Schizosaccharomyces pombe: one gene and its partners. Changing the gene in region 3 together with the main gene of any one other region gives a genetic interaction. Each region holds a gene or a part of one and is shown on either strand. Other genes may lie near its edges. The genes, in order: zip1, SPOM_SPAC1705.02, ssp2 and fnp1.

Region 1 (7,306 bases), on a different chromosome or scaffold from region 3:
TAAATTCACTACTTGATTTCTTAGTATTCTAAAATTTATTTACTTTTCAGTATGATCAAAGTAACCGTCACTTATCGATGGCCTGAATAAATTGTATGCGTAGTCTTCGTGTACCAACTACCAGCTACGCGTCCAATATACAAGTTTCACGCACAATCAACTGAAACCGTTTTACGTATTTAATCCTATTTATTATTCCAAAAAAAATCTATTAACACTTAAACGTAACTAAAATATGGACATATTTTCTGAGTTTCTCAATTGTTTGAGCTCAGATGGCACTCTCAATGAAAGTAGTATTTATAAAACTTATCAAATTCTTGAATCGTTAAACCCAAAAGATGTTGATACTAAAGAAAACTACATAAAATTATCAAACACGTTTTCTACGCTAGGCTCTGGAGTGGGCTTTCAAGACAATTTATTGATTGAAATGTTTAAAATATTAACTGTTTTGTTTTTTAAGACTAGATCTACTGATTTGGGCGATTTGTTAATTGAAAGTTTTACTTCCCTAGAGATTGAGAAATTAATGAGGGTGAAAAAAACAATAGGATCGATTGTGCTTACTAAAGGAATACAAGAATTGCAAGAAATTGAACTGCCGAAAGTCGGTTTTAATTGCATGACCTACGATGAATCTATTTTTCAGGGGATTTCCTTAGAGAGATTGATTCTCCAATTGATGTCAATTTTCATTGCAAAATGTGAAGAAAATAAGTTATGGCTTGTTAATAACAGAAAAGATTTAGATCTTCGAGTAATTGGTCAACGCTTGCTTCACAGGGATTTCGCATGTCGCTTCTTAAGCGGTCTATTTATTTCTCGCTTCTCTGTTTCTGGAGATACTGATGAGAGTAAACATCAAAATGGCATTCGCCTTCAACTATTTATTGATTTTTCTAAATTTGAAACTCGTTTGACTATGCAAATTTTGAAGGCGGACCGCATTTTTTCCACCTGTGTTGCCAATACTGTCCATGCTTATGAAGGTTTATTTTCGTCGGGCTCAAATATTGATTCAACAATAGCTACTCTGGTTTTAGAGCCCCGAGATTTAATCGTTTATAGAAAAGGATTTGCTCTGTTACAAATTCCTTGGACATCTGTCACGACTATCGATAAGATTAAAAAAGTCAAATCTCTAAAAATTATTACTGAAGTATCTTCCCTAGATGAATTTGTTTTCCAATGTAAGGATGGCGATAAATTTGACGAGCTTTTTTCGACTTCTGAAGAAATCATGAACAAACTGTTACCAGCTATAATTGTTTCTCCTAAATTGACATTAAGGAACCGTTCAATAATTCAAATAAAAGAAGGAGAATCAAAGCTTCCTAACACTTCCAAGCAAGCATCCCAGAATTTACCGCATTTAGATGATGAACTGGCGTACCAAAGATTTGAGGATCAGGTCATTGACAAGAGTGTGTGCGACGATGAGTGCACTAACACTGAAAATACTCCAAGTTCAAACATTCCTGCAGATGTGAAAGATTCTTTATCAGCCGATGACTATGCTTATGATACAAAACGCAAGACGCAAATTGAGGATCTCGAAGAAGACCAGAATAAGAGTAAGATAGCTAGCAAAGACGGAACCAATCTAAAAGAAATCAATTCTGTTCCTGAATTTTCTGATGAGAATGTAATCAATCAAACGGGGCCCGCCAAAAAGACACCGGTTCAAAGAAGAAAAGATGGAAAGTTTGCAAAATCGACAAAAAGAAAAAAACAAAAATCTTTAAAACCTGATACTGAAAATCAAGAATCTTCGGTGAAAAATAAAAAGGCGAAATCCAATGTTAATTTGCAATACAGTCCGAAAACCCCCATTTGCAAAATTAACGACGAAACCTTGAAGCCTCCTACGATAGCAAACATTGCAGGTCACAAACAAATGAACCATTTAACTTCGGAGAATATTGAGACTCCAGTTCCTGTACCGAATGGAAATTGGTATAATGGTGTAAAGCATGAAACAGCTACAGATATCTTTACTACTTGCCATGATGGAAATAATAGTCTTAAAAGCTCCGTATGGAAAGAACTTCTTAAAGAGAAACATTGGAAACAGGAATCTAAGCCTCAACTTACTGGAAATAGTCGTCAAATTGATCTCTCTACCTTTGTTAAACAAGCAAATACTCCAAATATTACCAGTCTACTAGATGGTACCTGCTCAAGCCCGCCTAATAATGAATGTTTTAATGACAAGGAGCCAGACTCAAGTAGCAGTACGCTGATATCAGATCGCCAGGAACTTGAGTACAGGAATCCCAATGCGGAAACTGTCAAGCTCGAGGAAATACCCTACAACAAATTTTTTAAGACAGTTGAGAAGAACGAAGCATACAATCCATCTAGCAAATCTGCTACTATTGATGGTTTACAACGTTATACTTCTATGATAGGAAATCAAATATACGAGGGCATTTTACAGAACGAGAAGGAATTGAGGTCAAAGCTTGAGGCTTACCACATAAATTGTAACAAAGTGATTAAGGAATTTTCGAAAAGACAAACTGCTAGATATAAGATCATCGAAAAGGAATTGGCGCAAATTGAAGTTAATCTGGTCAGCCAAATTGACAGTTTGATGTTTAAGTAGCTTGAACCTATAGTATCAAATTTATTGATATTGGCTTATATTGACATATTACTTTAAAACAATTCACATTGGAAGCGTTATATTTTATTTACGTAAAGCAAGAAACACGAGAAAAATAGGTATATTATCAAATTCATTACCTAGTAAACGTAAAACTGATGAACTTGAACGTAGCAGTTGGATGCATACGCAGAAAAAAAGAAAATTAAAAGATTTGCTCCAAAAGAAAACATAAGTTTACCTGTAAAGAAAACCTTTATATGTTAAATAAATGATTATCGAAGAAATAAACATATCAATGCAGAAGACAGGGGTATAAAATAACAGGGAAAGAAAACCACTTTTAAAAGTTAGAAGTAGGACGTATAAGTCCCTTCAACCAGTTATTCTCCATCTCCAGTTCACGAACACGAGTTTCTAAAATGGCGACTTTCTCAGTCAACTCTTTAGCAGTGCGTTCCAACTGTTGTTCTTTAAGCTTCTTCTTGATGCGAAAACGAGCGCTAGCAGCGGTATTTCGACGACGTTTATCTTCCTCAGCAGCAGTACGGATGGCAGAAGTAGCTTTGGTGCGTTTACTGTTAGCATTGGGAGACTGAGCACCCTTATAAGAAGAAAGACTAGGGGAAGATACAGATGCTAAATCAGGACTGGCAAAAGTGGAAAGGGGATTGGTAAATGCGTTTTGATCAGCAAATGAAGAAACGGGAGCTTGTAAAGGGGTATTGTTAATAGAGCTGCTAGCTTCAGAAGTCGGGATAGCAGTCTGTCCAACCAAAACTTGATGTTGTCTTGCAGATTGATCAGGTAGTAACTTGGAGGAAGCTGAACCTTGGAGAATTGAGGAAGAAGAAACATTATCCTTGGAGGCTGAAGCAACAGAAGACTTTTGCTCAAAGAGCTCTCGTTGAGACGAAGTTTTTTCTTGAGTTTCCTTTGAATGATCAGGTAGGGTTAGGAGTTTCTGCAAGTCGAGATAAGCAAGATCAATTGAAGCAGGATTAGCAGAAGAAAAATTTCCAGTTGCATTCAAAGGGGCAGAAAAGGTATTGCTAACTTCTTCCTCTTTAACTTGCTGCAAAGTCGAAATTTTTTCGGGATTCTGTTGCTGCACGTTCTTTTCCTGCTTATTGGAATTGGAAGAACCTGAAGGTTGAGAAACAAATCCATAATAGCCTTCTGAAAGCATACTAGAAGGCTCTAAATCTAAAAAGTATGGATTTGTGAATACATTTAATTGCTCTGCGAGATCATCCTTTGAAAAATCGTCAGAGACAGGAACATCATCGAACTTAAGATTCAAGTGATTGATAGCGCTATTAGGAGTAAAATCCATTTGTCAAAAGCTTTATCTTGAGACTCTTGGTCTCTTAAAATTAACTGAAAATCAATTGTTAGCATGGAATTTCGCTAAAAAACTGAACTCTCCAACAATAAGCTTACCTAAGACTTAACGGCAAAATTATCGTTACTAATCAAATTATATCTCACAAAGGTAAAAAAAACACACTCAACCGTTCGCAATAAACGAGCTAAACCACCAAATTTAGTGACTCGATGAATGGCGACGCTACGTTGGTAATCGTAGAAAATTTGATGACTGAGCCAGCACGTCTGCGATCGGGATCATGCAGCGTTGAGATAATAATGAGATTACAATCTCCGCGTTAAAAATCTGATGTAGTGTAGCTGTACGTAGATCCTCATAAAACTATCCTATATTAAGATAGTGCACCGTTAATTATTATAGAAGTTGTTACCGTAGTAGTTTAAACCTGCTAGAAAAACGTTATTATATAAGTCACTAACAAATTGCTATTTAGGAAAAAAATCCTAAAGAAATCAGTCGTATGCTATTAATGAGAGTTAAAAAGCAGTCTTAAGTTCTTGCTTTTTGTGTAAATGATCGGAAGTTTTATCTTATATTGAAAATTCTAAAGCCATTAGAATATTCGCTCATTTTATATATCAATGGCCCAGTTGTAATAGTCAGTCGAATAGTTAATTGAATAAACTACTTTAGATCTACATGCGCAATAAGTTTTAAGTTTGGGGTTTTTACTGAACATTTTTCATCCCCAACAACGGTTCATATATTGAAACAATAGTGCGTCAGACAATTCGCAATTTTTTTTTTCTAAAAACAGTATATTCTCTACTTTTCAGTCAGTTAATATATTCCGGAACAAAGTCATATTCTTCTTAAAACTTATTCATACTAGTGCTGCTTGTGTAAAAAAAGAATCAAATACAAAACATGTTACTTGACAGATCCTCTATAATAGAATATGGAAACGAAATAGAAATGAGAATGATTGAAGTTCAAGCTTAAAGTCAGTAATAGATTTGCTTTTTGCATAAGAAAAAAATCAGTGGAAAACGCTTTGAAATCCTTAAAGCATTTTTTGTATTTGCGTAAGACATTGTCTGCTATATGCTTTCAGAGGAGTTTTAGAAATCCAATAGCAGAAATTCATCATTAATGTTAAAGGTAGCTGAATACAAATTAAACAGCGTTAAAATCAAAATCCGATAAACCTTCACGTTCATTCCGTGGTTACATTTGTAGTTCATTTTTGTCAACCATCGCCGTTCTATATACTTGCTAACTATAGTACAATGTGTGCCATCAAAACTTTGAAAATTTAATCCTAATAGTTTAAAACAAATGTTACAGTTTAAGTATTTCAATGTCCAAGACTTCAAATATGGAGTTTTACCTAACTTGCATAGAAACTCGGTATTATAATAAAAGACAATGACGGATTCGGGGTATTAAATGAAGACTTCAGCTGTATAAAAGCTTTTCTGTTATATATCTTAAATTTTGTGGATTCCAAATTAGCTTTCAAATACAAACTGTGCCATTTTACACAACCTCGATCATTCATAAAACAATAATAAACTTGCTCACTTACAAACAAGTCTTAAGAATTGATTTAAGTCAATGTCTGATTGCAAACATATTAACAATCTGTGATAAATTTCTTTTGCCATGTATTTCTAACTTTAGGTTGATGAGTTCAAACCTCCTATGAATCGACGTATATCGTTGTTGATATTTCACATAAACTTGGACTCGCCAATCTTTGTTCATATTTTAATGCTTATTTATTCAGATAATTCCCAGGTGACTAGCAGTTTGAACTAAGCAAGACGTTGTCAACGACTTCAAACATCGCAAGCTTATGGAATAAAAGAAAAAAAATTACATGTTTCTACTCGTAAGTGAAATAAAAATTCCCGGACTCCCATTTACCAATCCTTCGTTTTTTGTATTACCATATACTATCTTTCACGTTTGCATCTAGCATCTAAAACTGTTCACTTCTAAAAACAATTCATTTTAAGAGAAATAATCATTTTTTCTTATTTGAATAAACTCAATTCTTACTGCCTCGTTTCCTTGTTTTTGCAAAAAAAAAAAACATAATCATTGCTATAGGTTTACAACTTCATATCCGTTTCTTTATGTCAATTTATTCTTTTTTACAGAATGGCTACTGTGAAACTTAGTTTTTTACAGCACATCTGTAAGTTAACTGGATTGTCAAGAAGTGGAAGAAAGGATGAGTTGCTTCGAAGAATTGTTGACTCTCCTATTTATCCCACCTCTCGGGTACTTGGTATTGACTTGGGAATCAAAAATTTCTCTTACTGCTTTGCAAGTCAAAATGAAGATTCTAAAGTTATTATCCACAATTGGTCTGTTGAAAATCTAACTGAAAAAAATGGGCTTGATATACAATGGACCGAAGACTTCCAGCCTAGCTCCATGGCTGATCTTTCAATACAACTGTTTAATACATTACACGAAAAATTCAATCCGCATGTCATTCTTATGGAACGCCAGCGTTATCGTTCCGGTATTGCTACGATTCCAGAGTGGACGCTACGAGTAAATATGCTTGAAAGCATGCTGTATGCGTTACACTACGCAGAAAAAAGAAATTCAATCGAACAGAAAATACAATATCCTTTCCTTCTTTCTCTGTCCCCAAAATCTACATACTCGTATTGGGCATCAGTTTTGAATACGAAAGCATCTTTTTCAAAGAAGAAGAGTAGAGTACAAATGGTCAAGGAATTAATAGATGGTCAAAAAATCCTATTTGAAAATGAAGAAGCTCTGTATAAATGGAACAACGGTTCTAGGGTTGAATTTAAAAAGGACGATATGGCAGATTCTGCTTTGATTGCAAGCGGTTGGATGAGATGGCAAGCCCAACTGAAGCATTATAGAAACTTTTGCAAACAGTTTCTGAAACAATAGAAATGAACGATTGCCGTACGAATGTTTAGCCAATTTGTATATTGTAGTTTTATTCAAAGAAAAACTATCGTATATTGCATTTCATGATCCTATAAAAAAGGAAGAAATTAAACTAAATTCATAAAATTAATAATGATAACAAAAGGAATGCAGGCACATGTATCAAAGATCTTCTTTGAGCATTATTCTAAACTTCAACGATGAAAAATAACAAAACATAAAGAACATGAAATGAATTTTTTAAAAAAAATAAGAATGATGACAAACAAAAAAAGGTAATAAGGCCTTAAAAATAGCAACCCGACCTTGCTCATTTCAAAAACCCAAGTTTATATCCTCTATATTTCATGCATACAAAAGCACCAATAACAGCACCGAAAAATGAAATTTTTTATAATAAATTTGTATGAAACGGCTTTGAA
Region 2 (6,043 bases), on a different chromosome or scaffold from region 3:
AAGCATTTTCTATACCAAATAATATTTATGATTTTCTGCTTTTTTCTAGTATAAAAAAATCCTACCTCTTCAGAGATCTGGTGACTGTTATTTTTCACTAAAACAAACAAGTGATGTCACGTTTAAAAGCCCGTGAATGTGACTTTTTAAGGGTCAAACACTGCGGTTTGTGTCTCTCCCTTTAAATGTTTATGCGATGAATAACCTTAAAACCAAAGCTGGAATACAAATGAAGTTTTGACAGAAAATACAGCATTGTTTACATTGAGTGTTTACAATTCTCAATCTGTAAAGAGTCGAACGCCTTGTTGTCATGCCAATGTGTTTAACGAGAGTCAAATTACTCGTAAACGTACAAGTTTAGCCAATAAACGGTCTTCAAAGTTTGGTCGCAAGCTCCTCGTTGGTGTTGTGGCCTAGCAACCAGCAATACACAATTACTCATTGTTTACAGTAAACATTGCAACGAAATTGCGCACCTCGTTGTCCCCCTTTTTATCTAACAAGTCACAATTCTTTGCATTTTCCGGGTATATATAGATGTCTTTTCCGCAACTCGCTTCATCCTCAGCGAACTACATTTGAGTTTTAAACACTCTTTTACTTCTTTATTCATTACCCACGCATTCATTTATAAAACATATCATATATATTACCCGTAATATATAGCATATACCTTTTATAAATACCCGCTATTCTGCATATCTTTTGTGGTCAATCTCTGTCTTTTTGATTATTACTACGTTTCCCCTTATAAACGCATTTTACATATTTGTCCTCTTTCTCTTTTGATTTAACAAATTTACCTTCATATTCCCTTTTTGCATCCTAAAAACTATCTTTCGTTATATTTTTCCAATCATATTTCTACATTATATAGTCTAAAGTCAATATGTTGTTCAAATCATTCGCTCTCACTCTTCTTTTCGCCGCAGCTCGCGTACAAGCTGCTTCCAACTGCTCCAGCGGCCCTTACAATATCTCCGCCCAAGGTACTCTTGACGAGCTTAACAGCTGTACTGTATTGAATGGTGATTTGTACATTTCTGATGCTGGTAACTCTGGCATCACCACCCTTACTGTTAATGGAATTGAGTCCGTTCAAGGTGATGTTGTGGTTTCTGATGGTCAATATTTGACCTCTCTTTCCTTCCCTTCTTTGAAAAACGTTTCTGGTGCTTTTAACGTTAACAACATGATCCGCATGAACAACCTTGCTACCCCTGAGCTCACTTCGGTTGGAAGCCTAAATCTTGCTGTTTTACCAAACTTACAGGAGCTTCAATTTAACGCTGGTCTTTCCGATTCTGATAGTGTCGTAATTGATGACACTCAACTTCAAGCTATTGACGGTATCAGTTTGGATTCCGTCACTACTTTCCAAGTAACCAACAATCGTTATATTCAGGAGATCACCATGGAGGGCCTCGAAAGTGCTCAAAATATCCAGATTTCCGCTAACTCTAAGGGTGTAAGCGTAAACTTCAGTAAACTTTCTAACGTTACCACTGCTACTTTTGATGGTATCAGCAACGTCTTTATTGGTAACTTGAAGAGTGCTGCTGGTAACTTGTATTTCTCTAACACTACTCTGGATAACATTTCGGTTCCTTACCTTACCGAAATCGGACAAAGTTTTGCTGTTTTGTACTCTCCTGAGCTTACTTCCCTCAACTTCCCTAACCTTACCACTGTTGGTGGTGGTTTCGTTATTAACGATACTGGTTTGACTTCTATTGATGGTTTCCCCGTCATCTCTGAAATTGGTGGTGGTTTAGTTCTTCTCGGTAACTTCTCAAGCATTGATATGCCTGATTTGAGTGATGTGAAGGGTGCTCTCACTGTCGAGACTAAGGCTACCAATTTCACTTGCCCTTGGTCCAATGATGACAGTGTTATTAAGGGTGATGATTTCACTTGCCAAGGTAGTGTTGCTACCATTTCTGCTACTAGTTCTTATGATTTGTCTTCCACTGTCTCTGCTACTAGTGGATCTGCCACATCTGCCACTGGTTCTGCTACCACCACTTCATACTCTTCTGATTCTTCTGCATCTTCCTCTTCCTCTTCCTCCCATGAAAGCTCAGCCGCTTCTAACGGCTTCACTGCTGGTGCTTTAGTTTTGGGATCTCTTTTGGTTGCTGCTCTTGCTATGTAAGTGTCGTCATGAACAATTTGTTACTTTTTTTATCGAAAGTATAGAAAATTAATATTTGAATGTTACCGATACTTATTTGGCGAGATGAGCTGGCTTATCTCTGGTGATGTGGGTTACTGAAATGTTTATTAATACAGGCCGTTTTATTTTCTTCTTTATAATCGGGTGTGATTAAACATATATCTTTAGAAGAGATTAACTTCTATATGATCTTAGAAAAGTGTTGAGAAGGTTTGATGTTCCTTTTCTTTAATTTGAGCTTTAAATTATTTATATGAGTTGCTCTTAGGCTATTTTCAAAGTTATTGATTTTGCCTTTTTTATAATTAGTCTATCGAATATTTGCATTTAGTATATCTTGAATTTGATTTTTTTAATTTTTAATACAAGGCGCGCGGTAGTTAGTAATAAAATAATTTGATTGGCAAAGATGAGACATAAGGCGTATGATATGCATAACCGAGAGTTAAGAAATTACGAGTAAATGATTAAGTAACTTAATGGGATGTTATTATAGATTGCAAGACTACCGAGTTTATTTACTCTTTACTTAGAAATATAGATTTTATTGTTTTTATCAAAATAGAGGTAAAATTGAAGAAAAATAACAGAATAAAGAGCCAATGTACTGTGGAAAAACACCACTTAAAAGGATGGAATAAACTGCCCTTTAACAAAATTTCGAATATAGTTATTTTTTTCCTTTTGAGCCACCGTTGGCTTCCGCTGCCTTGCGCTCATCAGCTGCACGTTGTTTAGCACGCATAATTTCAGCTTGACTTAAAATATTAGCTAATTGGTTTTTAAACAAAATCCTGATTCCATTCCACTTACGCTTCAAGACGTTTGGTAGGATCTCCGGCTTGTTTCTTTTTAGAAGCTTGAGACTTCTTTAAATTGCGAGCACGGTCAACATCACGCTGATTTCCACCTAGTAACATTAGTAATTACAAATTATAGATATAGTTTTAATTTTAATGAATATCAGAATGTGAAAAAGGCTAAAAGAATACTAAAAATCAATAAGCAAGTATAAAAGAGATAGTTCAACGCAGCTATTCCCTGCTGAGAGGGGGATAATAATTTTTAGAATTTCTTCTTCATTCTCAAAGGTTTAAAACTTACGAGACATCTTAGCAAAAATTGTATCATCAATCAAACTGCAACTCACACTTCTTATGAGGTAAAAAAGAAAAACGGGCAATTTATGGTGGTGACCATAGCTTAACGAAATATAGCATATATCGTTAATGTGAAATATTTGTCAGCAATACTACACTACGCTATAATACACTACGTTGAGTATCACTATATGTCACATGTTCTAATTATATATCGTACCATGTATGATACGATATGGAGATTGATCTTAATGATAATCTATTAAGATCAATATTATCTGAATACTATAAATAGAGCTACTGCTGAACCTCGTTCCTCAGTTCAGTTATGAGCTATATTAGTGATAGGTAACATTATAACCCAGTTAATACAATACCTATACTCAGTTGCTACTTATACAACCTGTGTATTGTAATATAATAGATCACAAGGAAAACTCACCGCAGTTCTACGTATCCTTAAATCAGATACCAAACTGCGTAGCTTACAATAACTGAACTCTTGTGATCTACAATTAACTCCTTTTAGGAAAAAGGAATTATTGAATAAATATATATCATAAATATATATATTTCTCTCCTTCTGGGTTCAAAGGAGAAAGAACTTTGGAAGGACTGTTATCCCTTTTGAAATCTCCCAAAGGGAAACATATACAATGTCCTACGCAAATTATCGTTATATGAAAGCAAGAGCAAAACGATGGAGACCAGAGAATTTGGATGGAATTCAAACATCAGACGAACATTTAATAAACCTTTTTGCAAAAATATTATCGAAGCATGTACCAGAGATAGGGAAATTCGATCCTAATAAGGATGTTGAAAGTTACATTTCAAAACTTGATCAACACTTTACTGAATACCCTTCATTATTCCCAAATGAGCATACTAAAAGACAGTATACATTGAATCACCTAGAAGAATTAGAGCAACAATTCGCTGAACGCATGTTTTCTGAGAATGGAAGTCTTACATGGCAAGAATTACTCAGACAAACAGGGAAAGTACAAGGATCCAACAAAGGTGATCGTTTAACTAAAACATTTGAAGGTTTTAGAAATCAATTGGACAAAGTTCAATTTATAAGGAAACTCATGTCAAAAGCAAATGTTGATGATTTCCATACTCGCTTGTTTATATTATGGATGCTGCCATATTCCTTAAGGAAATTAAAGGAAAGAAATTACTGGAAATCAGAAATCAGTGAAATTTATGACTTTTTAGAGGACAAAAGAACAGCCTCGTATGGTAAAACTCACAAGCGTTTTCAACTGCAAAATAAAAATCTAGGAAAAGAGTCCCTTTCAAAGAAAAATAACACCACTAATAGCAGAAACCTGAGGAAGACAAATGTTTCGAGAATAGAATACTCATCTAACAAATTCCTAAATCATACTAGGAAACGTTACGAAATGGTATTACAAGCTGAACTTCCAGACTTCAAGTGCTCAATACCCTGTCTAATCGATACGGGCGCTCAAGCAAATATTATAACAGAAGAAACTGTTCGAGCACATAAACTGCCTACCAGACCCTGGTCAAAAAGTGTGATATATGGTGGAGTTTATCCAAATAAGATTAATCGCAAAACAATAAAACTTAACATAAGTCTAAATGGAATATCAATCAAAACAGAATTCTTGGTTGTAAAGAAATTTTCGCATCCAGCTGCTATCTCCTTCACAACATTATATGACAATAACATTGAAATATCTAGCAGTAAACACACGCTCTCTCAAATGAACAAAGTTTCAAATATTGTCAAGGAACCTGAGTTACCAGATATCTATAAAGAATTCAAAGACATTACTGCAGAAACCAATACGGAAAAGCTACCAAAGCCAATAAAAGGGTTAGAATTTGAAGTTGAACTAACTCAAGAAAACTACAGATTACCTATCAGAAATTACCCGCTACCACCGGGAAAAATGCAAGCTATGAATGATGAAATTAATCAAGGATTAAAAAGTGGAATTATACGAGAATCTAAAGCCATTAACGCCTGTCCAGTAATGTTCGTTCCGAAAAAGGAAGGCACCTTGAGAATGGTGGTTGACTACAAACCTTTAAATAAGTATGTCAAACCCAATATATATCCGTTACCACTTATTGAACAATTACTTGCTAAAATACAAGGTTCTACAATTTTTACTAAACTTGACCTCAAAAGTGCCTATCACTTGATACGAGTAAGAAAAGGAGATGAACATAAACTTGCTTTTCGCTGTCCTCGTGGAGTTTTTGAATATCTAGTAATGCCTTATGGCATATCTACAGCTCCAGCACATTTTCAATACTTTATCAATACAATACTTGGTGAAGCCAAAGAATCACATGTAGTATGTTATATGGATGATATTTTAATTCATTCAAAATCGGAATCTGAACATGTAAAACATGTTAAAGACGTTCTACAGAAATTGAAAAATGCGAACTTAATTATCAATCAAGCAAAATGTGAATTTCACCAATCACAAGTAAAATTTATAGGGTATCACATTTCGGAAAAAGGATTTACGCCTTGTCAAGAAAATATAGACAAAGTCTTACAATGGAAGCAACCTAAGAATCGTAAAGAATTACGACAATTTCTAGGTTCTGTCAATTATCTTAGGAAATTCATTCCAAAGACATCACAATTAACACATCCACTCAATAATCTTTTGAAAAAGGATGTACGCTGGAAATGGACACCAACACAAACCCAAGCGATAGAAAACATTAAACAATGTTTAGTTTCTCCTCCGGTGCTACGACACTTTGA
Region 3 (8,257 bases):
AACTAGTAAGGATGGATAGTGTTGGAAATGAGAGCGAATCCCTATCTAACAGCAAATTGATTAAGCAGGGCAGGCAAAAGATGTCGAGATAAAAAAACGGAAAGAGAGAGAGAAAAAGTGTGTTTGCTGTAGTTGATGAAAATTTGTAATTGATTTTTTTTTACTTTGAAAAATGATATGACCTTCAATACTTTTGATGCTTTATGATGGAAATAGTGGAATGAACATGTTCGATTGATTATGTCTTTCGCTTTTTCATTTTATATTTTTCGCTACTGTATTATTGCTAATTTTTATTTCATTCATATTGGAACATACATTGAGCTATGTATGGTAAAACTTTGAATTATACTAGAGATTGTTAACAGTAAGATTGTGGTAATATTAGAGATCATGCTAATACTAGAAATTTTGATAATACGGGAGATTATGTTATGTTGTGTTAATAGTGATGTTTTGTGCTAGTGATGATTTATGCTGAAGTGAATCATTTATTATCAAGAGATGAATTGAAATGATATGGTGAAAAGAGAGAGAGAGAGAGCAAAGAGCATGTTTGGCGAAAACACAATAATTCGTACAGTAAAAACGAAACACAATAAATCGTATAGTAAAATAGAGGAAACAAAAAATAAACACCAATTTTTCTATAGTACAGGAAAACAGTTGATCATGTACTTTCCATCAAAAAGCAATAACCTCTTCTTCTCTATTGTCCTGATTTCGCTATTTTTCGGTACGTAAAGAAACTTACGAAATTTTTAAAAAATTAAGGATACGAGGATCCATTGATAACTAAGATCCAGTTGTTTGCAAGTGTATTATCCTTATCATCAGAACTGTTTTTTTTTAATTGATTTTGCAAAATAAACTATCTGTAAGAAATGTAGAAATGAAAAGAATAATGAAACCGAAAAAAAAGCATACATATGACTACAGCTATCCAAAACAAAATCAAATAAAAAACAACTAATAACGAATAAAAAGAAAAGTAAATCGTTTCAACTTAAATAAAACAAGAAGAAGTAAATTGACAAAGTTTCATATAGAATGAGCCAAACATCATTTCTATTCGCAATACAATCCTCTTTCCTCTAATATCAACCTTCTTTTCATTTCTCTATAATATAACCGTCTTGTCGAGTTCTTTCTCGGTAAATACCTTAGATAGCGGATGTGGGTAGATTGGATTTGAAATCATTGCATGGCGGCAATCTTTGATTGTTTAATTTTGCGCCTTTTTTTCTAATCCCCGATAGAGTTAACATATGATGAAGGACGTCGATACAAAAACCTGGAGAAACGAGATGCGTAAACAAGTCGGGAAATCAACAATCATATCAGAAAAGTTGAAAGTCAGAATACCAAAAAAATTAGGGAAACCTAGCATGACATTGTAATTTGTTGTATGCTATTGTCATATTAAATTGTTTGGATAGTAAGTAAAATATTGTTCATCTTCATCTTCATCTTCACTTTTTTTTTTAAATTCTTGTCAACTGCGTTTTTGCCTCCCAAGTTTTATTTACTTACCTCTTCTTTCTTCAATTAGCTGGCGATTCTCGAGGCTTAAAATCGACGACTGAACCCAGCTCTCTGCCTTAGCATTTTACATTGACATCCTTTACGCAATTAATTAATTATCAGAATATATTCATCTTCCAATGTGCTTTAGTTTTTCGGAAAAATTCATATGTCAATCCTAAAGTCGTTCTTTTTTATTTTAGAGGACCTTTATAAATCTCAAACGCTTCCCAATACTACACACTTTTCTTGTTCTTCTGAATTTCCTCGATTTTTAATATTTTTCTCTTTGAACAAGCAACATGAAAGAGTATCTCCCTAATCCATACCTCAAACTTGGCATTTTGAAATGAACAAAGGATTAGATAGAGTTATACTATACTGAAATAGAGGACGTTTGCAATGTAGAGATCTGCGATGTTTACACGAGGATAGTTATACAATGACTGTGAATGTGTGCGACAAGCAAATCATTGTACTGCAGAAACAAGAATTTGTGTCAAAATTTTTAACTCGTTCATGAATTAAATTCAAAAAGAAAGTAGACTTACTGTTTGCCAAGCAATATGAGGCAAAACTCTTATCCCGTTTGCTGACAACAATACGATAAACATGTTAATTCGCGAGTTGGCAAGGCATTGATATGTCTACATCATTAATGATTTTAGGAAAACATATAATGTCTTTTTGCTTTAATTTCAAATTAAACGAAATTAATGTTTTTATTTACTAAAACGCGAGTTAACAAGAAAGTCATTGCAAATTAGTGTCAGCAATACTACCCTGCGTTAAAATACATTACGTTGTGTATCAGCATGTTTCCTTATGTTAATATAGTTTTAAGACCCGTTTAAATACTGATAATCGCGGATAACTGTTCATCTAGAATGTTTGTGGTTTAATAAATTAGGATGAAATATAAATAGAGCCAAATTGAACTCAGGAACGACATTCACTTATAAGCTAGTTTAGTGATGGGTAACGATTTAACCCATATATCAATACATAAAATTAATTGCTACTCATGATATCTGTATACTATAATTAATAAACCACAACGAAATTTACCGTACTACTACACGTAGCGCAAAGTTTTAATTGCGTAGTTTGACCTAAAGCTAAAAATTTGCGAACTAACTTATGGTGGCATATTCTATTATATAAAAAAGTATCACTTTAAATGTGTTTGCTTAACACCTATAGATCGTGATGCCAGACAGCATGTGAATGAAGAAACCTCTATTCATCGTGTGAAATGAATTTTGTAAATAAAGTCCAATCACATGCTAACTTTACTATTTGAATTACAAAGATGCTTTTTACACGAAACTTGTTTACGAGGATGTCCAAATAAAAAAGCATTCCTGTGATTGTGATTTACCCCAAACAAGCTATAAAATTCGTTCAGGGTAAATTGCGCTGTATTTTTATTGCATTCTTATATTATCATACAAGTTGTTGACTTCGAAAACACTTCCCTGCTTTCTAAAAAAATTTTTATTTGGATTTTGATTGATAGCTTTTCTTAGAATATTAAATTTTTTCGTCAAAGCAAAGACTTTCATGCAAGAAACAGTGATAATTAGTCTGTGTGCCTTGTAAACAAATGAAATCAGTTCAGGCTCGTTATATTCATGATCACTGTTTAAATGTTGCTGAGAAATCACATCCAATATGAAGACTCTTTTCTAATAAAAAGCTTGTTCATTTCCTTTTTTTTGTATTAACTCAACCAGTACTTAATTGTTTACAAACTCAACGAAGATTTGACAAGAGCGTTATAATGCGATACACAACGCTGCACTTAACAACCATCTTATGAAGACTGTGGGGTACGCCGTGTGTTCCATTATATCTGGGATGGGTTCTTTACAAACATAATAAACTGCTTAATCATACTTGGATCATGTTATTACTTATACAGCCAAGATTGAAATGCGAACACTGTAACATGTATAAGTATTTTATTGGAACAGTTAACTGGGTTAGTTAAATAAGAGTTTGCAGTTTGCATTAAAATGAATAGTGTAGTAGAATTTTAATTCATTGAGTAAAATTCCGCATTGTGACGCAACTTCGTTAACTAGTAAAACGGTGGCTTAAAAAACTGTATAGTGTTATTTTAAACGAATTAACGAGTCCAATTCATATCATCTCATGTGACACAACTAAGGATGTATACTATGGCTTTGCCTTCTACCAAATTATATATTTATCTCACACTCTGAAATTTAAGCCTTGCTATTAAGGAAAAAAAGATTTTATCAATAAACTTTCAATATTGGATTTGCCAAGCGAATAGCTGATAATGCAACCGCAGGAGGTTGATTTAATGGAGAACTCAACCATGCGAAATGGAGCAAGAGTTTTACCACCAGAAGCCATATCCAAGCGCCATATCGGCCCTTATATTATAAGGGAAACCCTTGGTGAAGGTTCTTTTGGCAAAGTCAAGCGTAAGATTGCTAATATTTAATATCATGAGAATAGAGACTAACGTACTTGTAGTCGCTACTCATTACAAAACGCAACAGAAAGTTGCTCTCAAGTTTATCTCCCGTCAATTGCTAAAGAAAAGCGATATGCATATGCGTGTGGAGCGTGAAATTTCATACTTGAAGCTTTTGCGACATCCTCATATTATTAAATTGTATGATGTGATAACCACGCCCACAGATATCGTTATGGTAATTGAATATGCAGGTGGTGAATTGTTTGATTATATTGTAGAAAAGAAAAGGGTAAGTGGTGCGGTTTGCGAGTTTTTGTTACAGTAAATTTCAGAAGTGATGTTGGATTGGTTTGATTTGTCAAAATGTACAAGTTATCCGATTGTCTTTTTTAAAAATAGAAAAAGATAAATTGTTTTTGCATCTGAAATGTTGCTGATGAAGGCTTGTTTACAAATTTGAATGCACGAATTTATGTATTTGCTGACTGTTTTTAAAGATGACTGAAGATGAGGGTCGTCGTTTTTTTCAACAAATTATATGTGCAATTGAGTACTGTCACCGTCACAAAATTGTACATCGCGATCTTAAACCCGAAAATTTGTTGTTGGATGACAATCTCAACGTAAAGATTGCTGATTTCGGTTTATCAAATATTATGACAGACGGTAATTTCCTAAAAACGTCCTGTGGCAGTCCAAATTATGCAGCCCCGGAAGTTATCAACGGGAAATTGTATGCTGGTCCAGAAGTCGATGTTTGGAGTTGCGGCATTGTTCTCTATGTGATGTTGGTGGGTCGTCTTCCTTTCGACGATGAATTTATCCCCAATTTGTTTAAAAAAGTTAACAGTATGTTTGGCCACTTTTTTTTCTACTTATCTCTTGCTAAACGTATTTAGGTTGTGTTTATGTTATGCCTGATTTTCTTTCTCCCGGAGCACAATCTTTAATTCGCCGAATGATTGTTGCAGATCCAATGCAGAGGATAACAATTCAGGAAATACGTCGGGACCCTTGGTTCAACGTTAATTTACCCGATTATTTACGTCCTATGGAGGAGGTCCAAGGCTCTTATGCTGATTCACGAATTGTCAGCAAGCTTGGTGAGGCAATGGGGTTCTCGGAGGATTACATTGTCGAAGCTTTACGTTCAGATGAAAATAATGAAGTAAAAGAGGCTTATAACTTGCTACATGAAAATCAAGTAATCCAAGAAAAGAGTCATCTCTCCAAATCAAAACGAGTCGATTCTTTTCTATCTGTATCTCCACCCGCATTTTCAGAATATACTTCTGAATTGCAAAAGAAGTCAAAACAGGAGCTTATCGATCCTACTTTAGAAGGACCGCGTTGGACAGTCTCCGACCCTCCAACATATGCTAAACAAACAATTGACAGTAACATATGTGTCCTTGTGCCTACGGCAGAAAAAAATAAACTTGAAATGAGGACTCTTGCCGATGCTGCTAGTGCTGTGGATACGAGCCAATCCACTCGCAAAAAGAGTCGCCGTAACAAATGGCATTTTGGTGTTCGCTGCCGGGGCGATGCACCTGAAATTTTGTTGGCTGTGTATCGAGCTTTACAACGTGCAGGAGCTCAGTTTACCGTTCCAAAACCAGTAAATGGAAAATATCGATCAGACATGTATACCATTAAAAGTCGTTGGGAAATTCCTCATTGTAAAAGGGAAGGAAAAAATACTTATGCTTATATTGAGTTACAACTTTATGAAGTTATGCCCGGGTGTTTTATGCTAGATGTGAAATCTAATGGTTACAAAGATATTTATTCTCATCCTGAACGAACAGCTGATCATGGCATGGATGATCTTAAGTCATCTTTCCCATTTTTAGATTTGTGTGCTATGCTGGTGTGCAAGTTATTTTCTGCATGATTTATTGTAACTCCCCATTTAACACGCTGTTTTCAAGCATCCCTTAATTACCCATTGTTGAACAAATCTACTCAATAGCAAAGACACATTTTATTTTTTTTACCTTTTCTTTTAGCGAATAAGGTTGCATGAAGATACTAGTGTCCGGATTAATTACCGCCATTTTCTGTTGAAACATTTATGAATTGATGAATTTAGTGCCATTGTATTATCAACGGTTTACAGAAGATTTTGGTTTCACTCGTTAAGTATTTATCTTGTTATAACCATAATACATTTGTTGATATGAAATAATCGAATGACTGAATGTTAGGAGTTTATTGAGTCCTTTTACTTTTCATGCGGGTTTTCTCTGATAACTGAAATTTCCCATTTATCTATATGCATGACGATGTTGATTATATATGCTCACCTTTCTTTTAATAATAAAGAAAACCGTTAAGAAAAAAAAAATTTATACGTTTATGTTAATGTAAACGAGAATCAAATCAAAGACTAGTTAATATGCAATTTTTTTTTGCAATTTAAGAACGACTTGCAGCTGCGACATCGAGGAACTAGTCCATAAAGAGTATTATTTTCCTTTATCTTTACTTTAATTCAAATACAAACCAATTCTATTTAAAATACTATGCTAGCTTGTTTGTAATTAGTTGAACTTTATGAAGAAAGCAATTCCCCCCCCCCCCTTTTTTTTTTAAAAAAAAAATTGTTAAAACATCTGTACATCAAATTTTGCAAATTTCTTTTCATAAAGAATGTCAATAGAAATGTCAACTTTAGTGTGATAAAGAAAAAAGCTAATAAAGAAAGTTATAGACACAAAATGTGAATTATGAAACGAGAACAAATGATTGGTATTCTTAATTTTTGTATGTCTCAATATTTAAATTATTTGAAAATCCTACTATATATTCCTCAAAATTTGTAGAAGGTATTTTCATTCATTTTGTCTAAAGGATTCATACATTCCACAGTTAGTATATAGATTAATTTGTTCCATTCTGCAAAAAATAAATAAAAATACTCCGTTCATAGAACTGGTGCACAGCTTACTCTCAAAAAAAAAAAACAATGTATAAATTATGTTTACTATCTAATAACAGACGTTAATATGAAGACCGGTTAATGTATGAGGAAAAAGAGATGGGTTCAAAATCACAAGAGAATGAAGAAAAAAATAAGAGTATAATATCCTTTTATTCTTAATTTTTTCTAACGGAATTCGTGAAAAGATTGATCCGATCTAAAAACGGTGAATCATTTTGTTTACAGCTGGAAAGCCATTTGGCATACCAAGTCCCACACGCCAAAAATGCTTCTTAAGTCTTCTATTATTGTCAATATAATTAAAAAATTAAAAATCTACTAAAATTATATTTTTTTATTTAGTTTTAACTATTAATATACACGATGGTGTAGCGAAGGGTTTAGAGAACTCCAACGAATTTCACAAAGTTGCATGTTCAGTTTCCTTACTTGAATAGTAGTCGACGTTGATCCTTTCTCAGCGTATATCCTCAGGAAACGATTAAATCGGCACAGTGCGAATTTCTGAAAGGTTCAATTTATTCGGAGTATTACTTTGAACCTCTTTGATATTTAATTAATGGATAATTGGAATTCCGTGCGAAATGTGTCGAGTGATAGACAAACAAGTAAAACGTCAGAAAATCCTCCACATACTTCCAATGAGTATAGTGGAAAACCGGAATTTATTAATCTGAGTCCTGATTTAGAAGAAAACTTAGATGAAAAGTTAATGAGTGCTTTCCCTGGTATGCAGGCTATTAAAGCGGGGATAGAGAGTTGGTCAATAATTTGAAATATTTGCCTCTACGGGCTGTAGCGAGTGATGTCTTGATTGCTTGTTCTCTCTTTTTTCTCTGCTATTTTTGATCCTTTCTCTTAGAATTCTACTAATTGTTGCCCTTAGGCTTAGAACCTCATGTGTTTCAACACTCCCAGTCACCTCTGTCACATAAAGATGCTTCATTGTTAGCTACAATGCCTTCAGGTATATTTTCTTTTGTTTATTCATTCTTTTTATTTTTATCTCTACTATACTGAGTTTTCCTATGTTCTCAATTTTTCTTTTTCTTTTTTGATTCGTTCAATTTGCTAATATTTATCTTAGTTGCCTCATCCAATCCATCACTCATATCTTCTGGATCTTCGCAAACTGGCTCCCCATCACAATCCTTGTCCTCTAATAAGGAACCAAGTTCTCCTGGCATTTCTCCTTCCAATGACTCTCAATCACAAAATACTAATCATACCTCTATCTCAGCCAATCCATATGTTAATAATCCAAGTCATACTTCAAGGAATCCGGATTCAGGATCTTCGTAAGTTTATTTTGCCTTAAAAATTTATTTATGACT
Region 4 (8,680 bases), on a different chromosome or scaffold from region 3:
TGGCTTCAATATTCTCAAATTTGTATAACAGGAACTTAACTCATGTGCTTTTGTTAACGTGCATTCTTTTTCTGTAGCGAATGTCTTCACAGACTAATCGAGGAAAACAGACCCGCTACTTACAATAATTGATCCTTATTTCCTTTTAATCATTTACAATGGTGATGCTTTTTAATCGTTTAGGATACCTTGATAAGAATATATAGCGCTGAACCTAATCGTACTGAGAATCTTAAAAATTAGTATAAGCAGTGCGACACTAAGGTTGCATATGTTTGGTGTTTAAGAGAAATGTATGGTTTCAAAACCTCAGTAATCAAAAGAATTTCAATGGTTCGACTAATTAGAATTCTAATCCAGCTTGCTGTTATACATGTCTTATTTGCGGTAGCTCTTTTCAATTTCTCAAACTTGTTGTGATTATGAATTAATTGAGCCTTTACTGAATGTAAAGCCAGTGTATATCCCCCCCCCCCAAAAAAAAAAAAAACACACACACACACACACACACATACATATTAATCACGAATCTTGATAATTAAATAATGAATTTTTATTTGTCTCAATTGCAGAATGATGGTATCCCTTTTTTATAATTCCTAGGCTTCTTAATTGCGTTTGGCTTCGCGCATGGATTAGTTGAATTTATTTTTACATCTGCAAAGTGACTCGTTTTCAATACTCACTTTTGCTTGCTTAAATTACTATGGACCAATTCCTTTGCTTATTTGTTGGTCGAAAAATGTTCAGAGGAAGATTACCTCAAACGTTTTCTGCCTGATGCTAAGGGAATGAAATGCAAAGCAGAATTACTGTAAAACATCTTAATGAGATTTATACAACTTACTAAATGAGAACTTCCATGTCTTCCATGTCTCAATACGGTTTGTCGTATTATGAAAATTACTACTTATTGTCACGTATTGTTCAAGTATACGCAGCGAGTGTTTAAAACAAACCAGTTTTCAAAATGATTCATAATACTTTTATTCTTTATGTCTTCACATAAATTAGTTTGTATCTTAAGCCTTTTATTGTATAATAATGAAAAAAAATAAATATCGCGTATCGCTTCAAAATTCACCGACAATGACAACAGTGCTTGAATTCTCGGACAAATCACAGTTCCAATAGCCTCAACCCTTTTTGAAAAAAATCAAACAGCCATTGCTTGCAATTCAAAGCACCAAACCGGTATTCAAATAAGAGGCTTCGAAAATTCATAAAAAATCGCTGTCATAGTTTTAAGAAGCTGACTAGTATTTAAGGTGTGGTGGTGAAAAAAAAAAGAGATGAAATTTTATAAATGAAATTTTCAAATCTGACTCATTTAAGTTTAACCGAAGGTTATAATGCGCACAGAAACACTCCCAGCACATTTATTAATACTTCATAAAAGTTAACGGAAGGTTATGACTTTTATAGGCATTAACTCAATACAGTTGTGTCTGAAAGAAAAGTCGTTTATAAGTTTCCATCCGTGTTCTCAGATCCTTCTCGTTCCTCTATATCATGTTGATGCTTTTCATCGCGAAGTTCCTCGATTAATTGATGACACTGAGTCAAAAGCGAGTTCACAAGCTCTTGTCCTTCGGGTACGGAATGGTCGGAAGCCAAAAACTTTCCGTTCACCCTAAGATTCTCTAATGAGGCCAACTTCATTTGGTAGGGATACAAATCTCTTTCCGAGCAAATACCTCCGCTTCTCTGAACTTCAAGTAAGCAGCGTTTAACAGTTCGAAGTTGATTATGTACGGCCATAAGCTCTTCTGACACTGGTTCACTGCTAGAAAGTAATTGGTATATGTAAGCATAACAACGGCGTAGTAAATATAAAAGAATCTAACATATCAATTAGCTGAGATTTCATATAACTTCTGCATAACTCCTTACCCTTTGGCCAGCAGGCGCATTGCCTTGTTCGTCCAAAAATTGACCATCAATACGCATTGAGTCAATTTCCGCTAGAGAAGCACGATAAACGTAAAGACTAAAATCCGTTAGCAAAAGGTTTCTTCGATAAAAAAAAACTAAAGAAAAACGTACTCAGTCTCACGTAAAGTCCAGCGATGAGTAAGTGTAAGATGTTTTAGTTTGTTAAGCAACTCGTCGAGACGGTGGTAAATTTGTTGTAACTTAGGACTTGATTTCATTTCATCAGACAAACCTTCCTTAGTTTTGGCATCCTCAAGAAAACTAAAGCATTCTTCAAGTATACCGTTACACAGCTCTTGACCTTGTAAGGGAACATGGTCAGCGTCACAAAACATCCCATTAGAATCCTTCATTTCTTCAATTTCCTTCAATTGTTCCATTGTCCGGTCAATAAATCCAGGGTCAGATGTAGGACGAACGGCAAAACCATCAATTTGACGATGAATAGAAACCAAACGAGTTTGAATACCTATAAGCTCTGGTGAAATCTTTGAAATGTTATGTTGGGCTTCACTATAATTTCTATCACAAACAGCAAGTTTGTTATTCAGGTATTTTACAACAACTGGAGAAGCATCCTCTTTTTTAGATCCCTCAACGATTGCAGCCCTAATTCGTTCCAACCTTTCTTTGAGAGGCTTAAGGTCATTCTGCGTATAGCAGGCACCTTCTAAATTATACTCTAAAAGCCTTCTAACAGTTCCCAATTGTACGAAAAAAGCAGGCAAGTCGTTGTTACGTCCAATCGCTAGATAAAATAAAGATAATAGGTGCAAACAATCTTCTAACTGTGAATCAACAATAGTTCGAGTGCTATTCGTCGATCGTCTAGAGTCCAATAAATTCACTATAATGAAACTTAGTTAGCAAAAATTTGTTTAAATTTCAAAATTTTGAGCCAAATATTTATCCCACAGATGACCATTCATTCATCCATATGCATCCATAATTTGACACAAATATTAGCGAATTACATACTCTGTTCCACTAATTCATCTTTCAGATGAAAAACCTCATTTTTCTCAATGAATCTCGTACGATCTCGTTTCAAAACAGCTAGGCGTTGACGGATGCCTATCAATTTCTCCAAGATTGGCTGTTCTTCCACGGGGACAGGCTCAGCTGGCTCATAAGACATCATTAAGTCTGTATTTCTTTTGAACTAATATTGAAAACACTTAAACGAATGATACAGACAATATTCAAATACAATATTTGTTGGTGGGTGGTTGGAAAAGGATAACTGCACGGTATGATAAACATGGAAATACTTAAATGGTTAACGAGAAACCTCGAAATAGAAAAGCTGGTGTCATTAACGTAGAAAATTTTGAATAATTTCAAAAAACAACCATAAAATTTAGTTTGTTAACGTTCATTTCTTTCTTTTGAATGAAGGATGCATGCCATGTGTTTTAGAGTTTTCTGCCCAACGGTAAATAACTAACAGATAATTTTTCAACCTTTTAGTAAATAAATGCTATATTTAAACATAATTTATAACAATCACTTTTTGATCACATAATTTATTACTGAGCAATGTTCAACCGGAACCACTAAATGCAGGAAAAAAAATGAAATTTGTCAAATCAAAATTTATAAAATTCTAGGATTATTTCATTTCTACTGACAACTTATATATTGAATAGTGTAAAATTCTTGTTTACATATACTAAGTTAGCAATGAGAACACACCCTCAAAACTTCTTTCAAATCGCCTTTCAAAACTTCGCTTACGAAGGAGTCATCAGATTTGTCCCATTTATATGATGATAAACGCCTTTTAATAACATTGAAGCAGCCTTGTTGAATGTCAAAAGATGATACGTAAGTTTCGCCAATGACTTTGTGATGTTCTTTAAGCAAGAAAGGCGCATAATCATTTTCCCACTCGCTAGGAAACTCGTGTATTTCGTAACAATCGAGAGAATACGTATCAAGATTAGCAACCATGAGCTGCGACTTTAAATGCTTTTTCTCAGCAAGCAATTGGGATTTGTTGCGTGAAACGTCTTCTAGCATATATAACAATGTCGCGGAAATAAAATCATCATCAGAAAACGATACATATGAATTCGGGGGGGCAGCTTGCAAGTCAAAAGAAGGATGTAAGGCTTTCAAAAATCCCACCTGCGAAGGAGACGGAGGAACGGTGGAAGTAGTTGCCTCAGATTCCTGTTTAGCATTCGTTTCCAAAAGATCCACATGGAGCATACCTCCTGGTCCTACAGTTGACCTTGGTAAATATTTCATATTCTCAGCGCTTTCCAAATATTCATCGATATTTTCTATATCCAAAAAACTACTCGCTGCACTTTCCGAAACACCCGAGGGTGAACTATACTGCATTGGTTGTCTTAAAAAAGAACCAGAAGTTGGATTAAGCGGATCCGTCTCATTATTTTGGTAACTACTACGCATAAATTTTAATCGCCAGCTGCTACTCAAATAATTTCGTAATGACGTTTTCCTAGGAGAATCAGCAAACGATGGTTTCTCTGAATGAATATCTATAGCTTTGCAAGAATCATTTATCTTCATATCATAGGAAGGTACTCGTAAAGAGCCAGAGACAGAAGGACAACCAAATGAAGTAGAAAGACTAGATGATGAGAGTATTCCAGAGTTGGGATATAATTGAATAGGATTAAGAAGCGTATCGGAACATTGCGCAATTGACGGTCGCATTAATGGAGCTAGTAGATATAAAAAACGTCGAGCTATTGGTGCTTTGCTAGACTGTAATAACACTTTAAAAGTAACATCATCTTTTTGGCGTTCCAAACAGAATTTTCGAGTAGCTGTTAGTAAATTGCTAAACAAGCACTTCTGGGCTGGAGATTTACACAAGTCGGTTAACAATCGCATGTTTTCCACCCATTTGCTGCCACTAAATACTGAAGGCTTAATCAATGGTGCCGAAAACCCAGTTTTCAGTAACAATATGCATTTGTGGAAACTCTTAGCTGTAATCAAATCTTTGCTAAGAGCATATGGTCCGAAACCTACTTTTGAGGATGAAGACTGAATTAATGGAATTCCTGTATCATTTTTGTTATCCCCCCCACTGCTAAGTGAAACAAACAAAAGATTGCGAATTCGTTCATCTATTTCTTTCTGCAAAGAAAGCGTAAAATTTGATAGCATAGTATAATAAGTACTGACAGGATGAACAATTTCGTCATATTCATAAGGTACAGTAATGATAAGAGCTAAAGCATACGAAGCTGGACGAGTGCGAGTATCGCTAAAAAGTGAAGGTGAAGAAAGCAGAAAATTAGAATTCGTGTTTTTGATGGATTGAGGAATAGTAATAAACGGAGGACTATTTAACCTGTTTCCTTTCTTTACGTTTTTTAAATCCTTTATTGATGTTGAGTTTGAAGGAAGAAGAAAACCACAATTATTGGAATCAGGCTTTTCTGAGGTATTGTTTGAAATTGCAGGCAAAATTTGTTGGGAGGAAAGAGGGGAATGCCCCCTGTTACACCGGAGCGAATTTTTAGATCGAAAAGGATCCTTAGCAGCTGTATGTAAGGCACAGCGACTTTCCAGTTGCTCATGCAAAGGTGTTAAAAAGGAAGAACTTGTATTCGAACGAGCTTTTTGACTGCTTAAAGTAGAATCTTTCATGTTTTTAGAAGAAGAAGATAAATTTGCTGCATTCTCAGGGATAGCGCTATCATTAAAAGACTTTAATAATGGACTGTCTTCTTTATTCGATTCAAAGGCATCGCTTGAGTTGGGTTTATTAGGGTCTTCAGAAAAGTTCGAACTACTATTTTCAAATAATGAAGTAGCAGATGCAATCGTTTCGTGACTAGAATTGACTACTGTACCATGTGTGTTGATTTGAAATAATTGAGTAAGCATATAAGACCTTGTGGCAGGATTAGGGGGATGAAGAATATGCAACTTTGTGGTAGTTCCTTTATGGGAGATAGGAATTGCTCCAAACATCAGATCAGTAAGTGGAGCATTTGCCGAGTCCCTAAGCACACTATCTCCTTTCTGACCATCCACATGATTAGAGTCAAACAAAACAGTTTTTTTTCGGTCTCCGATGTCTTGAACGAGGACAAGACGAAACGTTACATCCTTAGTACTTTGATATTGTTTGTCCAAACCATGAAGAAGCTCATAGGATTCTTTCGGCGATGAGTTTCTATTTGATGAAGATCCTGAATGAAATAAAAAATGAAGCATCTAAGAACGCATTACGCGGTAACTAATTTCTACAGGTTCAGTCTTTATGCTATGCTTCTACACAGAAAACAAAGCTTTGAATTGCAAAATTAAAAAAGGATGCTTAGAAATAACAGTAGCATGTACTGAAACTTCACTCTTACGTTAGTTTGACATTCCCCAGCAGCAGTTTCTCACTGGCGTTGGTTAGGTAGACAGAAGCTAGTAACGGTATAACTAACTCACACCAATTTTCTAATAACTAGGGTTATGGTTACGAAATCTATCTCAAGTATTGTTTAGATATTTAGAAAATACATGTATATACATTTTTTACAAAATACATTTAACAATCTATTAGGCATTTGCATATTCGATGCATGAAATATTAACAGTTACATTTGGAAGAAAGAGCAACTTCTGTTGGACGCATTTTTGGAACACTCAAGAGTCTTATTTTGTATACGATCCGAACGATCATGCAAAGGTTAATGTAAACACCAATTTCCGTGTACTGAAAAAGCGTGATCCAGAAGCTATTGTTACGGTTCCTCGTGAGTGCATATATGATACTCCAATTGAGTTTGGAAATACTAGAAAAAACTGGTTAGAGGAGTTAAATGAGTCATCAGGAGGAAAAGGTACAGCATGGGATGGTAAACTCACGCAGATTATGCAGACTCCAGTCGATGTGCATCCGTACCAAGAAGCACTTTGGAGTCGAGATGAGATCCATGAGGGAAACGCAATAGAATCAGAATATGAACTTCCTTCTATTCGTCCAAAAAGCGTTAAATATTGGTCAGATTTCAATCGGTTATTTTTAGATACTGAGTATTTATTTCCAGTAAACTGTTCGGAACTGAATTCATCGGACTTTTCATTTCAACTCGGTGTAGAAAGGTTTCATGATTTTGATAAGCAATTCAATGTATGGGATGAAGGATTGAGGCCGCTTGTTGAAGAATGTGATAGCGTCCAAGGGTTTCAAGCAGCAATAGACATAGACACTCCGTGGGGTGGATTTGCGAGCGAATACATGAAAGTAGTTCAAGATGAGCTAGGAGAATGTCGTGTTCCCACTTGGGTCTATGGGATTCGAGAGCCGATTCAGTCAGATTCATCCGCAACTATTGATAATCATTTCGGAAAACTAAATGAAGCACTTTCGTTATCTCAGCTCAACGGATCTTGTTCTCAGTACTTCCCTTTGTGTACAATATCACAAGGTGATGACCTTTGGGCTTCCTCCGCAAAAATTAATTTGGCTATTGAGTCCTTTACATTGCCCACAAGGGTTTACGGGTCTTCCTGCTACAGAATGAAAGATATCGAATCAAAGCTACAATCAGAAGGAAGAGGTTTTATCCATAATTTGAACTTTAAAGCAAAAAATTACTCGTCTAAAGAATGGGCACTAGTGAGTAGTGCCTCCTTTGTTAATGTTGCTCAAGATTACAGTCAGCAAAACAATTGTTTATTTGGAGTCGTACGCAGCCCCAAAGATAATCAAGGATTACTAGAAGGAAAAAATTATAACGCAAGTAGCATATCGAAAATAGTAAACATACAAAATTTAGGATTGCCGAGCTTAGAGACAGTTCCAGAAGGGTTGCGCACATTGGATACTGTTTTTGTGGAAGCTACGAATGACGGTCAAATTAATTCACACATTCAAGGTCTTACAAAATCTTTGAATCGTCGCTTTGTTTCATTTGTTGATCAAGATGAACTTGAAGAAATAAGAGAAATATTATCTTCATATATTATTTAGAAATCAAGGAATACGTTGGGCGAATAGTTCAAAGTATGAAATTTCCAAATACTTTTACAGTCCAATGATTACTTGAGAAAATTTCTAATAAGCTTGACTAAATGAGCTTTTCCCTCATTATCAGCTGTTTGCAACGAAGTAGTCGAAAGTTCATTACCTAATGTCTAATAATTAATGTCATTCAATCATGTAACTATTAAGAAAGAAAACAGTATCCTTTTTTTTTGCATTGGCTTTAGAATTTCCTCTCCAAGATTTTTAACATTATTCTTCTTGAATTAAGGACATGACCATACTATTATCCGTTAGTACATTATAAAAAATAGTGCCGCTAAAACAACAAGAGCATTTGCTCCAAAGAATAGCGAAAACTTACCAGTAAAGTAAAGTAAAAAACATTATAAGATAAAAGGTAACTTTAATAAAGTTGTCACGTTTATGGCGACCCAATTGGCGAAAAATTTCTGTAGCGTCAAGGATATGAGTTTTATGAATGACTTGATTGGCATGGAATACCAATAACGGCAGGTTTGCCAAGAACAAAAGCCATTTTTTTCCAAGAAGAAGTAATAGTGTTACTAATGTATGAGATATGATTTCGGGCATTACAAGATCATTCAACTTGTTGCACAAATCAATAGGGTTAATATAGTCCATCTCTAAATCCTGAAATAATTAAGTTAGCATTTCAACTACTTTTCTATTTGCATAATTATCTTACACTAAACATGATGACACAAAAGATCTGAAGAAGCATATTGGCACCATTCAGCCTGTAAAAAGTAT

The links.
Region 1: mutations in ssp2 (region 3) and zip1 together harm fitness less than expected from each alone (positive genetic interaction), as found in Schizosaccharomyces pombe (one large-scale study listed by BioGRID).
Region 2: mutations in ssp2 (region 3) and SPOM_SPAC1705.02 together harm fitness less than expected from each alone (positive genetic interaction), as found in Schizosaccharomyces pombe (one large-scale study listed by BioGRID).
Region 4: mutations in ssp2 (region 3) and fnp1 together harm fitness less than expected from each alone (positive genetic interaction), as found in Schizosaccharomyces pombe (one large-scale study listed by BioGRID).

The regions. Positions count from the first base shown.
Region 1 is NC_003424.3:4,296,707-4,304,012, reverse strand, and holds zip1 (DNA-binding transcription factor Zip1), read right to left. Parts: upstream 4,199-7,306; 5' UTR 4,055-4,198; exon of another isoform or gene 3,992-4,054; 5' UTR 3,948-3,991; coding exon 2,955-3,947; 3' UTR 2,612-2,954; downstream 1-2,611. Other genes in the region: meiotic recombination protein Rec10, read left to right, coding at 236-2,611; cruciform cutting endonuclease Cce1, read left to right, coding at 6,108-6,884.
Region 2 is NC_003424.3:1,566,110-1,572,152, reverse strand, and holds SPOM_SPAC1705.02 (uncharacterized protein), read right to left. Parts: upstream 3,339-6,043; 5' UTR 3,291-3,338; coding exon 3,284-3,290; intron 3,090-3,283; coding exon 2,993-3,089; intron 2,938-2,992; coding exon 2,850-2,937; 3' UTR 2,704-2,849; downstream 1-2,703. Other genes in the region: extracellular leucine-rich repeat domain, receptor L domain-like Ecm33, read left to right, coding at 893-2,158; Tf2-2 (retrotransposable element/transposon Tf2-type), read left to right, coding at 3,936-6,043.
Region 3 is NC_003421.2:1,927,433-1,935,689, reverse strand, and holds ssp2 (serine/threonine protein kinase AMPK catalytic (alpha) subunit Ssp2), read left to right. Parts: upstream 1-3,715; 5' UTR 3,716-3,832; coding exon 3,833-3,980; intron 3,981-4,032; coding exon 4,033-4,265; intron 4,266-4,473; coding exon 4,474-4,825; intron 4,826-4,875; coding exon 4,876-5,873; 3' UTR 5,874-6,500; downstream 6,501-8,257. Other genes in the region: ppn1 (cleavage and polyadenylation specificity factor complex-associated protein), read left to right, coding at 7,483-7,651, 7,810-7,890, 8,011-8,221. UniProt on the Schizosaccharomyces pombe protein: Serine/threonine protein kinase essential for release from glucose repression via the phosphorylation of scr1 upon glucose deprivation.
Region 4 is NC_003424.3:4,639,956-4,648,635, reverse strand, and holds fnp1 (folliculin complex subunit fnp1), read right to left. Parts: upstream 6,330-8,680; 5' UTR 6,142-6,329; coding exon 3,613-6,141; 3' UTR 3,459-3,612; downstream 1-3,458. Other genes in the region: SPOM_SPAC30C2.08 (uncharacterized protein), read right to left, coding at 1,465-1,842, 1,894-1,990, 2,047-2,782, 2,914-3,076; GTPase dml1, read left to right, coding at 6,497-7,894; cornichon family protein Erv14, read right to left, coding at 8,159-8,189, 8,271-8,560, 8,616-8,667.